Linked DNA regions of Xenopus tropicalis. The protein of the gene in region 1 purifies or fractionates together with the protein of each later gene. This does not show direct contact. Links are inferred from orthologs where the notes say so. Each region holds a gene or a part of one and is shown in the gene's direction. Other genes may lie near its edges. The genes, in order: prdx5, park7 and prdx2.

The links.
Region 2: the proteins of prdx5 (region 1) and park7 fractionate together in Homo sapiens (co-fractionation; 3 studies listed by BioGRID). This does not show direct contact. The link is inferred for Xenopus tropicalis from reciprocal best matches to the Homo sapiens genes PRDX5 and PARK7.
Region 3: the proteins of prdx5 (region 1) and prdx2 fractionate together in Homo sapiens (co-fractionation; 3 studies listed by BioGRID). This does not show direct contact. The link is inferred for Xenopus tropicalis from reciprocal best matches to the Homo sapiens genes PRDX5 and PRDX2.

What each region holds. Positions count from the first base shown.
Region 1 is NC_030680.2:34,742,902-34,747,279, reverse strand, and holds the start of prdx5 (peroxiredoxin-5, mitochondrial), read left to right. Parts: upstream 1-1,513; 5' UTR 1,514-1,588; coding exon 1,589-1,600; intron 1,601-4,145; coding exon 4,146-4,280; intron 4,281-4,378. UniProt on the Homo sapiens protein: Thiol-specific peroxidase that catalyzes the reduction of hydrogen peroxide and organic hydroperoxides to water and alcohols, respectively.
Region 2 is NC_030683.2:96,565,051-96,569,339, reverse strand, and holds the start of park7 (protein deglycase DJ-1), read left to right. Parts: upstream 1-1,339; 5' UTR 1,340-1,349; coding exon 1,350-1,439; intron 1,440-3,453; coding exon 3,454-3,555; intron 3,556-4,289. UniProt on the Homo sapiens protein: Multifunctional protein with controversial molecular function which plays an important role in cell protection against oxidative stress and cell death acting as oxidative stress sensor and redox-sensitive chaperone and protease.
Region 3 is NC_030679.2:140,338,084-140,340,622, forward strand, and holds part of prdx2 (peroxiredoxin-2), read left to right. Parts: intron 1-774; coding exon 775-870; intron 871-1,063; coding exon 1,064-1,217; intron 1,218-2,539.

The sequences.
Region 1 (4,378 bases):
CCCTGCCTGTGTGTGCCATACTCTGCCTTCCCTACTCTGCCTGTGTGTGCCATACTCTGCCTTCCCTATCCTGCCTGCGTGTGCCATACTTTCACTGTGTGTGCCATTCTTGGCTGGTTTGTGCCAAACTTGGCCTGTGTGTGCCATACTCTGCCTGCCCTACTCTTCCTGTGTGTGCCATACTCTGCCTTCCCTACCCTGCCTGTGTGTGCCATACTCTGCCTGCCCTACTCTTCCTGTGTGTGCCATACTCTGCCTTCCCTACCCTGCCTGTGTGTGCCATACTCTGCCTGCCCTACTCTTCCTGTGTGTGCCATACTCTGCCTTCCCTACCCTGCCTGTGTGCCATACTCTGCTTGCCCTATGCTGCCTGTGTGTATGGCACACACAGGCAGCATACAGTGACACAATGCTGGCAGTGCTCCTACAGTCTGCACAATAACTATATATTAAAAAACTTTTTAATTGCAGTACCACCTCAGTATATGTTCTTTTTGTAGTGTGCAGGGATTATTTGTGGGTTTCTACTCCTCCTGAGGTGTGAACAGGGGAACAATATGGGTGATTACAGCCTGAGCCTGAGGTGTGAACACTACAGGGGGTGAACAATGCAGAGATTAAAAGGTGTGAACAACACAGGGGATTACATATTTAAACAATACAGAGGGATTACAGCCTGAATCAGAGGTGAGAACCATGCAGGGGGGGCAGTTAATCTCAGTACTGATACCATTTAAAGCTTACACAAGAGTAAGCCATCAAAGCAGCCAGACAGGTGGGGGGCCGCACAGAGGGGGGTTGCGGGCCGCCAGTTGGACAGCACTGGTCTATGGGGTGGGGGGGATCATTTAGCCTCGGATTTTCTGGGGGGGGGGGGGGTATCACTGTGCCTTGGATTTTCTTTTGGCCTATGGGGTGGGGGGATCACTGTGCCTGTGATTGGCTGGGGGGGTATCACTGTGCTTCTCATTTTCTGTGGGTGTGTATTACTGTGCCTCTGTTTTTCTGTGGGTTATGGGGGGATATCAGTGTGCCTCTCGCTTCTCCTTCTTTTTCAGCACTGAGAACAAGGATCTACATGAAGCGGGTATTTCTGTGCCGATTAGTAGGATTATCTAGTAAAGTGCTGCTGGCTGCTGACACATTTGAAACACACGGAGGCAGAACGAGCAGCCAGAGAGCCGCAAGAGAAAGTCGGGCGGCAACAACAAAGCTCCCTATGCACAAACCTGCCATACTGCCTGGCGGAATGCAATTTGGGGGAAGAACAGAACAGGCGGGACGGCATTACACCCCAATTGCAGCACTACTAACATTAAAGAAATAGTGAATAGAAAAAGTGCTACGTTCTGCCGCGAAACAAACCCCCCGCGCATGCGTCGTCAAACCTTAAAGGTTAAGGGCTTTGTCCGTGCGCGCATGCGCGCTAGGAATTTTTAAAAAGTCCTTGCCTGCCCTATAGGGGCGGAATTGCCGTGTCCCATCGGCTCAGCCCACTTTGGTTGTCATGGCTCTTCGGCTCCCCGTCTCATTCCTCCTCCTGTCACCTCTGCGAGCGGTTGGAAGTTTCGTGAGCAGAACAAGAGCCATGTCTGTAAAGGTGCGTATGTAGCGAGTAGCGGCTTGTAGTGGGCAGGTATGTGCGCTGGCACAGTGTAACCGGCAGCAATGTCCTGTGTGCGGCAGAGATTTCTCTGTGTGGGTATTGGCTGGATTCCACATCTCATACTACTGGGCAGCCTGTCAAATACGAGTTAGATTATATAAACGTGTGTGCCCTCCTTCCCTGGCATGCTGTGGCTCCTGCTTTCACTCCTTACTGTTCTTGGGTATGTTATCTGCTTGCCCAGGTACAACTAATAGATAGTAAGCTCTGCAGTGCACTTGTTGTATAAAATAATGAAGGACTGGAGTTTAAGATATATATATATATATATATATATACACACACATACATACAACATGCTGAAAAGCCAAACTGCTGTCACCAGAATTCCCAGTGGGTTTCCACGTCTTTGTATATTGCAACAGGGGAATTACTCCTGGCAATGATTATTTTAGTCTGGTTACAGTATCGCAGCTCTGGGCTAAGATTCTAAATACTGCAGGCTCTGCCTTATCAAGTACACAGAGGCCCAGTAGCAAGTGAGTGTCTATGGCATTTTAAGCAGAGCCTACAGATTGCCAGTCCGGGCCTGCAATAAGATAATCCAAATTCCAAGCAAAATTAAGGGGAAACTCCACCCAAATGTTTATTCATTTTTTGCATAGTGAAAGGAAATGTGATTCCAAGCTGGGGGTCCCTGACCTTTTTCACCTGAGTTGGGGTGCAACACAAGCATGAAAAATTTACCTGGGGGTACCAAATAAGCACTATGATTGGCTATTCGGTAGCCACTATGTGGACTGGCAGAAAGCTTTGTTTTTATGCAACCAGAACTTGCCTCTAAAGGTGGCCATACACGTGGCGATCTGACGATGTTTCGTACGACCATCGGTCGCACGAAACATCGTAAGATCCGCCACACACCATTCAGGGCTGAATCGGCAGGTAAGGAGGTAGAAAAAATAGGATTTCTACCTCCTTATGCCGATTCAGATCTGAAGGGAGAATTTTGGTCAGGCGCCTTCTATGGCGCCCGATCAAAATTTTCCAACTGGTCCGATCAGCAGGTTCCTGCGATATCGGTCGACTCGCCGACATACCATACACGCACCGATTATCGTACGAAACGAGGTTTCGTACGATAATATCGGTGCGTGTATGGCCACCTTAAGCCAGAAATTCAAATATAAGCAGCTGCTATGAGGCCACTGGGAGCAACATCTAAGGGTTGGGGAGCAACATGTTTCTCCTGAGCCACGGGTTGGGGACCACGGTTATAAGCAATGTTCCAATATACATATAACAATGAATGCTTCAAAGTTATTGGTACCTTCTAAAGCAACAGAGCAGAGGCTGGATAATATACCCAGAGAACTGATTTCAAATATATTGTTTGCAGAGAATCAAAACAGAAAGGGATAAAAAAAAACTTTTAGTTTTTTCAGTAGCAGTGACATTTACACATAACTCTTAAACAACTGAAAATGTGTAATGACTGTGTATTGGAAAGTTGCCTAGAATGTTCTTTTATTGTTGGGTATGCGCTGAGGATTCACCCTTCCCCCAAAATCTGCTTTAGGTGGTTAATAAGTGAAACACCCTACTAATACACCCATGTCAGTTTGTGGGACTCTACCACACCAGATTTGTCCAAATACCGAACCAAAGCCAAACACTAATTTGCATATGTAATTAACAACATTTGGAAAAAAACACAGCATTCAAAAAATAATCATCAACCTTCATCTGTCACATTGTCTAAAGTCATGTGATGTTTAGGGTTTGGATTCAGTTCGGCCAGGAATAAGGAGTCTTCTAAATCTGAAAATGATCAGATCTGGTATTCAATACTTTCCTAATTTTTGTATTGCTTCATCAGTACATCAGCCCACCTTACACACAACACTCTGACCCTGCTGCAAATCCATTATTCTTATATCCACTATTCTTATGCTCACAGGCTTCCCTCTTTGCTCTCCCTGCATGGTGCCAGGTAACAGCACCCACCTGTCAGACTTCCCTGAACACCTGTTTGCTGCCGAGACATAGGCTAGTGTGATGTTGGTCTATATTCAATATATACTTTATTTGCAGGGGACATATATGTGCCCAAGGCTAGGAACATATAGTTGTTTCTTATAATTTTCAGATTAATATGTGTAGTATTATGATATTAGCATGAAATATCCATTACTCTGAATACATTCATTATTTAGGAGCAGTGATCCATCCTGTTAAAGCTGCTTGCCATTTGTATAAGTGTATTGTCACAGAAGGACTACTGTAATTGCATATACACTGAAAGAAAAATAAGCCGTGGCAACCTGATACTGCTAATTGTTACCCAAAGCTGGTAACTGTAATCTTATACATGTCGCAATGAGGAAGAGACACCTTAATAAATTCCAGTGTCGTGTAAAGGAAATTACTTACACAATGGATTTCGGTTGTGGGCAAATCCCTGAGACAACTTTGTACACTTCCTTGTTATAGACAATTAATATTTCATTGGGGTTTTTTTTTTATTCAATACTTGCAGGTTGGAGATCAACTTCCTAATGTGACGGTGTATGAGGGGGGGCCTGGGAACAAGGTCAGCATCAGAGATGTGTTTGCTAACAAGAAGGGGGTGCTGTTTGGTGTCCCGGGGGCGTTCACTCCTGGCTGCTCCAAGGTAAAGGAAGAGAAGCATGATCAGGGAAATGGCACTTATATTGTAGTGTCACCCACTGTGACCTACAGCACTTATATTTGCCTACTTGTGTCTGTAAG
Region 2 (4,289 bases), on another chromosome or scaffold:
CAGCCTGACCTGAAAACATCTATTAATACAGTACCTAAAACAATGGTGCCTCTTTTACAATTAGCACTGTTAACCCATTGGTTTCTTGCTCACCTGTTCACTTGTCGATCAGTAATGTATTGTGATACAATTACGAAAAGCACAGATTTGCTTTCCTAGATTATCCTAAAAGCAAAACTTCTGTTTAAATTACATAAAAATGTATTCTGTACACCTAACGTTTGTATGAGTTCATCCAGCGCGTTCTATTATAAGGTTCATTCTATAGCCCTATAGAGAGCCATGAATGCCCACTGTATCATATACAGCTTATCAGTTATCTGCTATGTAAAGGTGTGTCCTATAGCCCCATGAGAACTTGGATTGTTGCTCCCATGGCTACACAGCAACTTATTTTACCATAGTAGCACTTGTCAAGCAAACTCAATTTTCTCATGCAGAGTAAACATGCCCAAACTCAGTTGGGGAGTCTGGACTATTGCCTGAATGCCTATCCTGTCAATCAAAGACTTTACCAATAAAGTGATGTGGGCCCAGTCCCAATGGGTCTGCATAGACTTTACAGACCAAAGGGCCCCTGAGAATGCAGAGAAGCTAGGTCCCTTAATGCAATACTGAGTGGAAAACTTGTTAAACTAAAACTCTCCAACCTCCCTAAGGTGTCAAAGGCTCATGTTAATACAATGTATGTAGTATCAACATGTCTTTCCCTTAGAGATCCCATTAGGACTGGGGGCCCAGATGGCGGCAGGGCTTGAGCTAAGTGGGTGTGTGAGTGGGTACAAGCGCCTCTCATATTATAAAGCTACTCACACAATGACAGGAATGATATTAGTACCGGGAATGTGTGCGTTAAACGTGGGTGAGTGAGGCCGGGTCCCTACCGTCAGATAGCCAGTCTCTCTCTCAGCCTACTCCCACAGATAGCGCACAATAGCATGGAATTGCCTTCTGGGTCAGGAACAAGATGCGCCTGCAGTCGCCGCTATTATTCCCTTTCTCTCACACTCACAGAACAGACAGAAGGTGACGCCATGGGTCATGTGACCGAGCTGTGCCTGTGGGACGCGCTGAGGCAGGAAATGGTGTGTCGGGACTACGACTCCCAGCATTCCAGCAAAGCTTGAAACCTGTCGAGCACCACTGTAACCGCAATGTGAAAGTTCAAGCTATGAAGCCGGAAAAAATACAATGTACAGTTAGAGCCCCCGTTGCGCATTTAATTGAATTAAGCAGAGTTTGACACAAGAGGCTTTCCGTCAGTTGATGCAGGGGGTGGGGCTGTACGTGAGATATTGGTGCGCTCTGGCCCTGGAGGCGGAGTTTGTGAGCTAGCGGAGAAAGAGAGTATGGCTGGCAAGAGGGCTCTATTGATTTTGGCCAAGGGGGCCGAGGAGATGGAGACAGTCATTCCCGCTGATGTGATGAGAAGGGCAGGAGTGAGTAATACATGGCTGCTAGCTGCTTGCGAGACCGTATGGCTGTGCAGCTTGCTGGGCATGGAGGGGTGGTTACACTGAGCTCTGAAGGTGTGGTGCGCTGGCACTGTAACTATTGGCTGGATACGGATTTCTAACATCAGGAAGTTCTAGTTCAGTAGCCGCCGCAGGTTGCCATTAGTTAGTGACTGTGCAACAGGTCCCTCTATCAGTGGCTAAGCACTGCTGCTGAACAGTCACACTGCCTATGTCTGCCTGGAGAAATCCAGCCCTTGCTGTCTGTGGCCTGAGCTGGGAATTAAGCACGTTTGATTCTTTGCCTCATTTGCCCACTCAGTTGTTAGGCGAAATCTGCTGCAGGGATTGCTTGGCCCCAGTGCCAAAATCAGCTCATAATTGGGACCTGTGCTGTCCTACTGGGAGGCACCTTGGCAGTCAGTGCTGGGTCTCAGTCAGTGGGCATGCCTTCCTTTTGGCCCCATACATGGGCTTTAAGATACTTAGTTTGTCTGGATTTAATGACTGCACTTGTCCTGCCAGCTTCTCCTGCCACTGTATGTGATTAACCTGCTGGCACGCAATATAGAAGATATAGAGACCAGAGTCTCTCCCACAAAACAAAGCAGGATCAGTTACCCTTTCTCTGAAAGGTTTGTTAACATTACCCTGTTACCTGGAATGTCTGTATGTGATTTAACACTAAGTGTAAAGATTTAAAATCTAGACCTTTCATGGAATGCAAAATAAGAGAATATATGTACAGAGTAACATAGGTTGAAAAAAAGACACACATCCATCAAGTTCATCCTTTTATGCCTAAATCCTGTCTGTTAGTTGATCCAGAGGAGGGCAATATATCTCTTCTGTTGCAATGACCTGCCCTTTGGGTACTGGTAACTGCAGTTTAGGTAAAAAGGAATGATTACAGAGACCTCTAGTGGTAACAAACCACTGTGCAACTTGTGTGTAATGTAACTTTGTGACCTGTGGTGTTTTTATTATCACCTATTAATAAAATACCAACATATTCCACAGTGTTGTACAACAAATGGGTATATCCATTAAATAAACAAGAAAATATACAATTACAACCAACAACCTATACAATACTTAAAGAAGACCCTGTCCAGAAAAACTTTCAACTTTCAAAAAGGGGTAATTTACTATGACCCGGGCACAAAGGGATGCAAATGGCAGAAACCCTGGCAGCACTACCTTCTAAAATAACTACAAGCTCGTGGACATTGCCTCCAGCAATCATATGCTCAAGAAGTCAGTCCATTGGGCAAATTTTAGACACAAATTGCAGTGTGTTGTTTATTAACATTGCAGCTGATTGGCTGTAAGGTGAGCTGTAGAGTAGGCATTCTTCACATTTTTTGATGTGTTGACAATTTAGAGATCAGTGCCATTTACTGCATTTGTGTACAGACTCCACAATATTCAGAATTCCTGTATTATTGTGGGCACATAATAGTATCAAAAGAAAAAGAGAGGAGCGTGCTCCCATAGGATAATATCAATGGTATAATTTTTTAATTTAAATATATTGCACGTAAATAAATAGCAGCAGTATCAACATCTCAACAGCAAAGTCCATATAAGCCTATAGTGTACAGACTTCCTTTGTGCCCCTGAGGAAGTCTTTTTATCAGAACAACACTTCGTAATAGTGTCTGATTCAACTTATATACTAAATATTGATGGAAAATAGTATGTGTTTTGGTAAACTGCACCTAAGTTACTATGTACAGTTGGCATCACTTCCAGGTCTTCAAATTCACATGCCATCAATAGTGGCTTTCCTGTCTGATATACTTGGTGTAAGTCAATTGAATCTGTGGGCACAAACCACTAATGGAAACCTGGAGCTACTGGCAGGTCAAGGCTCTCTTAATCCCATGGATCCCTTGTGTCAATGCACACAGTTGCATGCAATTCATGAGAGCAGGTCGAATGTTGCATGTTTTGTTAAGAAAAGTTTATTTACAGTTGCCATTTTTCCATTTACCAGATAAAGGTAACGATTGCAGGTCTAAGTGGAAAGGATCCGGTTCTGTGCAGCAGAGATGTGGTGCTGTGCCCTGACACTAGTCTGGAGGAGGCTCGAACACAGGTAAGGTATACGTTCATTATTCATAGGTGTGTTGGGCAAACACTCCTACTTTGGCTTACTGTACTGTGTTTTCTCTCGTGAAGGATAACCACATGCCTTCATTTTGCCTAAAAAAACTAAAATTAACTTTTTTTTTTTCTATAACATTTCTGACTGTGAAAGGCACATACATTATCCACTTGCAATATGATTTGGGGTAACCGGATTCTCTGTATAAATAGGCCATTGGGATTTTTGTGTCTAATCATGTGTGGATCTTGTGATATAAGAGTGTGTAGTGTGTTGATCAAATGCTTGTAGCTTGTTAGTTTTTATTTGCATGTATGAAGAATAATTCTAGCTAATATAGCTAGTGGAATACATATGTTCATTCTAGCAGCAATTCTTTACCGCTATAATCTCACTTTCAGCACAGGCAGGCATGGGCTGGGTGCTTTGCCGGCCAGAGCTGCTTTTTAGTGCCAGTCCAGCTCAGCCCTGCTTGGCTGCTTAACTGACAGTTTGAAGGTCAAAGTCTATTTCAGTACATGACACTTTAAAAACTCACCCACCTGCTAGATGTAAAGCCTCTTCATTTATGATCTTAGATATTACTTTCAGAGAATGCAGAAGATCTTTCAGGAACATCTTTCAGTGGACTTCTGGGAATATTACATTTTTTTGCAACACCAAAAAATACAGTTGTGTTTTATTAGTTGAAACTGCTGTTGACTAAATATTAATATATTATTATC
Region 3 (2,539 bases), on another chromosome or scaffold:
CCCCAATAAGGGGTAATTATATCTTAGTTGGGATCAAGTACAGGTACTGTTTTATTATTACAGAGAAAAGGGAATCATTTAACCATTAAATAAACCCAATAGGGCTGTTCTGCCCCCAATAAGGGGTAATTATATCTTAGTTGGGATCAAGTACAGGTACTGTTTTATTATTACAGAGAAAAGGGAATCATTTAACCATTAAATAAACCCAATAGGGCTGTTCTGCCCCCAATAAGGGGTAATTATATCTTAGTTGGGATCAAGTACAGGTACTGTTTTATTATTACAGAGAAAAAATAAATTAATTTTAAAAATCTGAATAATTTGATGAAAATGGAGTCTATGGGAGACAGGCTTTCTGGATAACTGGTTTCCGGATAAGGGATCCCATACCTGTATCTGCTTCCCAGGCTAATGCCTTTCCTCTTTCTGCCCTATTAGCCACATAGGCAGGTTATTTGCCAGCTATAAGATACATTTGAGTCTCTTCTGCTCAAGGCTATTGGCAATAACACTGCCCATTGTATGTATCAGATGGTGGGTCAGGGGCTGTGTTGCTGCTGTTGTTGCCATGTGCCACATCTTTTTAATTAGAGATGCTTCTGATTTTTGGACATTGCACAATGCTGTAACGTATCCCCTATTAGGGTGTATGAGGTTAACACGGCTTCCCAGGGTTTTAAAGGGGAACTTCACCTAAATAATGGAGAAAATGAAATGTTGCCCAGCAATGTTTGGCTGTGGTTGAACTTTTTTTTTTTTTTTTTCTTACAGCAGTGAAGACTCACATTGGCCAGCCGGCCCCAGCTTTTAAGGCCACTGCTGTGGTCAATGGGGAGTTTAAAGACATCCAGTTGTCAGACTATTTAGGTAAGGTGCATGGAGCACTGCTGCACCCCCAATGTGTTTATTGCTGGAAAGTGATTAATAGGTGTGCGCTGTACTACTGCATGTGTTCAAAGCCTATTTAAAGTTGCACAGATCTGCTCCCAGTCACAAGCAGGCTGTTGGAGGTGGCAGTGTGTAGCCCAATCATTATTGGCAACTTTTTTCCCCTTGGCAGGTAAATACGTGGTTTTGTTTTTTTACCCATTGGACTTTACCTTTGTCTGCCCCACGGAGATCATTGCCTTCAGTGACCATGCTGGAGACTTCAGTAAGATCAACTGCCAGCTGATTGCCGTCTCCGTCGATTCCCAGTTCACCCACCTCGCGTGGTAAGTGCTGCCACTCCCGGCTTATCTCCTGGGTGGAGGGTGCAGTGTTCCGTTGCTTCTCTCATTTTACTGACTTATCAGTGACAGACCTTTAGCTGCACTATTCAGCCATATTCATGCTTCCCCCAGCATCCAAGTTAGGCTAATGGCCTTAAAGGGGAACTCTGACTTCTGAACCAAAATTTGTTAGAGCCCCACACAATACAGAAACCCCTAATATACCTATTGCTGTAATCTGTTCCTTCAGAAAGTATGAATCAATACCATTTTTATATGCTGAAATCCAGCTGCAAAATGGTTCTTTCTACATCATTTGAAATCCTGGCAGGGGAGGAGGGACTAAAACATTAATGTTACAAATTGTAATAACTTCTCAGCAGCTTACAGCATGCAGGAACTACATAACCCACAATGCACTGCACTGTGATCTTTCCTTATTGACATCACATGCAGGGGATTGTGGGATTGGAAGGAATACTGGCTGCAGACAGGCGACTTTTACATTTAATTTGAGTCTCAAAGCAGTCAGTCAGATCAACAGGGGGCGGGGCTTAGGGAACTGTTCCAAACCCTATTACATTACAAATCATGAAGGCTGCATATTTTTAATTGATGTATATTGCAGAGTTACTTAGAATGGCTTAAGTTTCGAAAAGCTCAAGTTGTGTTTGGGTGGAGTTCCCCTTTAACTGTAATTAGGCAGGAAACCACAGTGGTTGCATCTTGTAAGTGGTACCCATAAGGAGAGGTCTTCCTGAGACCCCCCCCCCCCCCCGCCAGGGCTGCTTCAGGCATGTTTCCCATAGATTACTATGAAGTTGCAATTTGATATTAGTCTTTCTAATCACTTAAATATTACCCCCCTTCCCCCAGGCCTGCATCTGGACTTCAAAATAGGCCCTGGCATTCCAAGTACACAGAGGCCCAAACAGCCCCCCCAAAGGCCCAATAAATAGTGAGTGTCTATGGCTCCTTACAGCAGCCCCTCTGGCATTTGCCTGAACCCACAGATTGCCAGTCCGGGCCTGATTTTCAGTACACAGAGGCCCAAACAGCCCCCCCCCCCATAGGCCCAATAAATAGTGAGTGTCTATGGCACCTTACAGCAGCCCCTCTGGCATTTGCCTGAACCCACAGATTGCCAGTCCGGGCCTGATTTTCAGTACACAGAGGCCCAAACAGCCCCCCCCATAGGCCCAATAAATGGTGAGTGACTATGGCACCTTACAGCAGCCCCTCTGGCATTTGCCTGAACCCACAGATTGCCAGTCCGGGCCTGAATAAATCGCACTATAATGCCCTCATACTGCACATAGCATTGT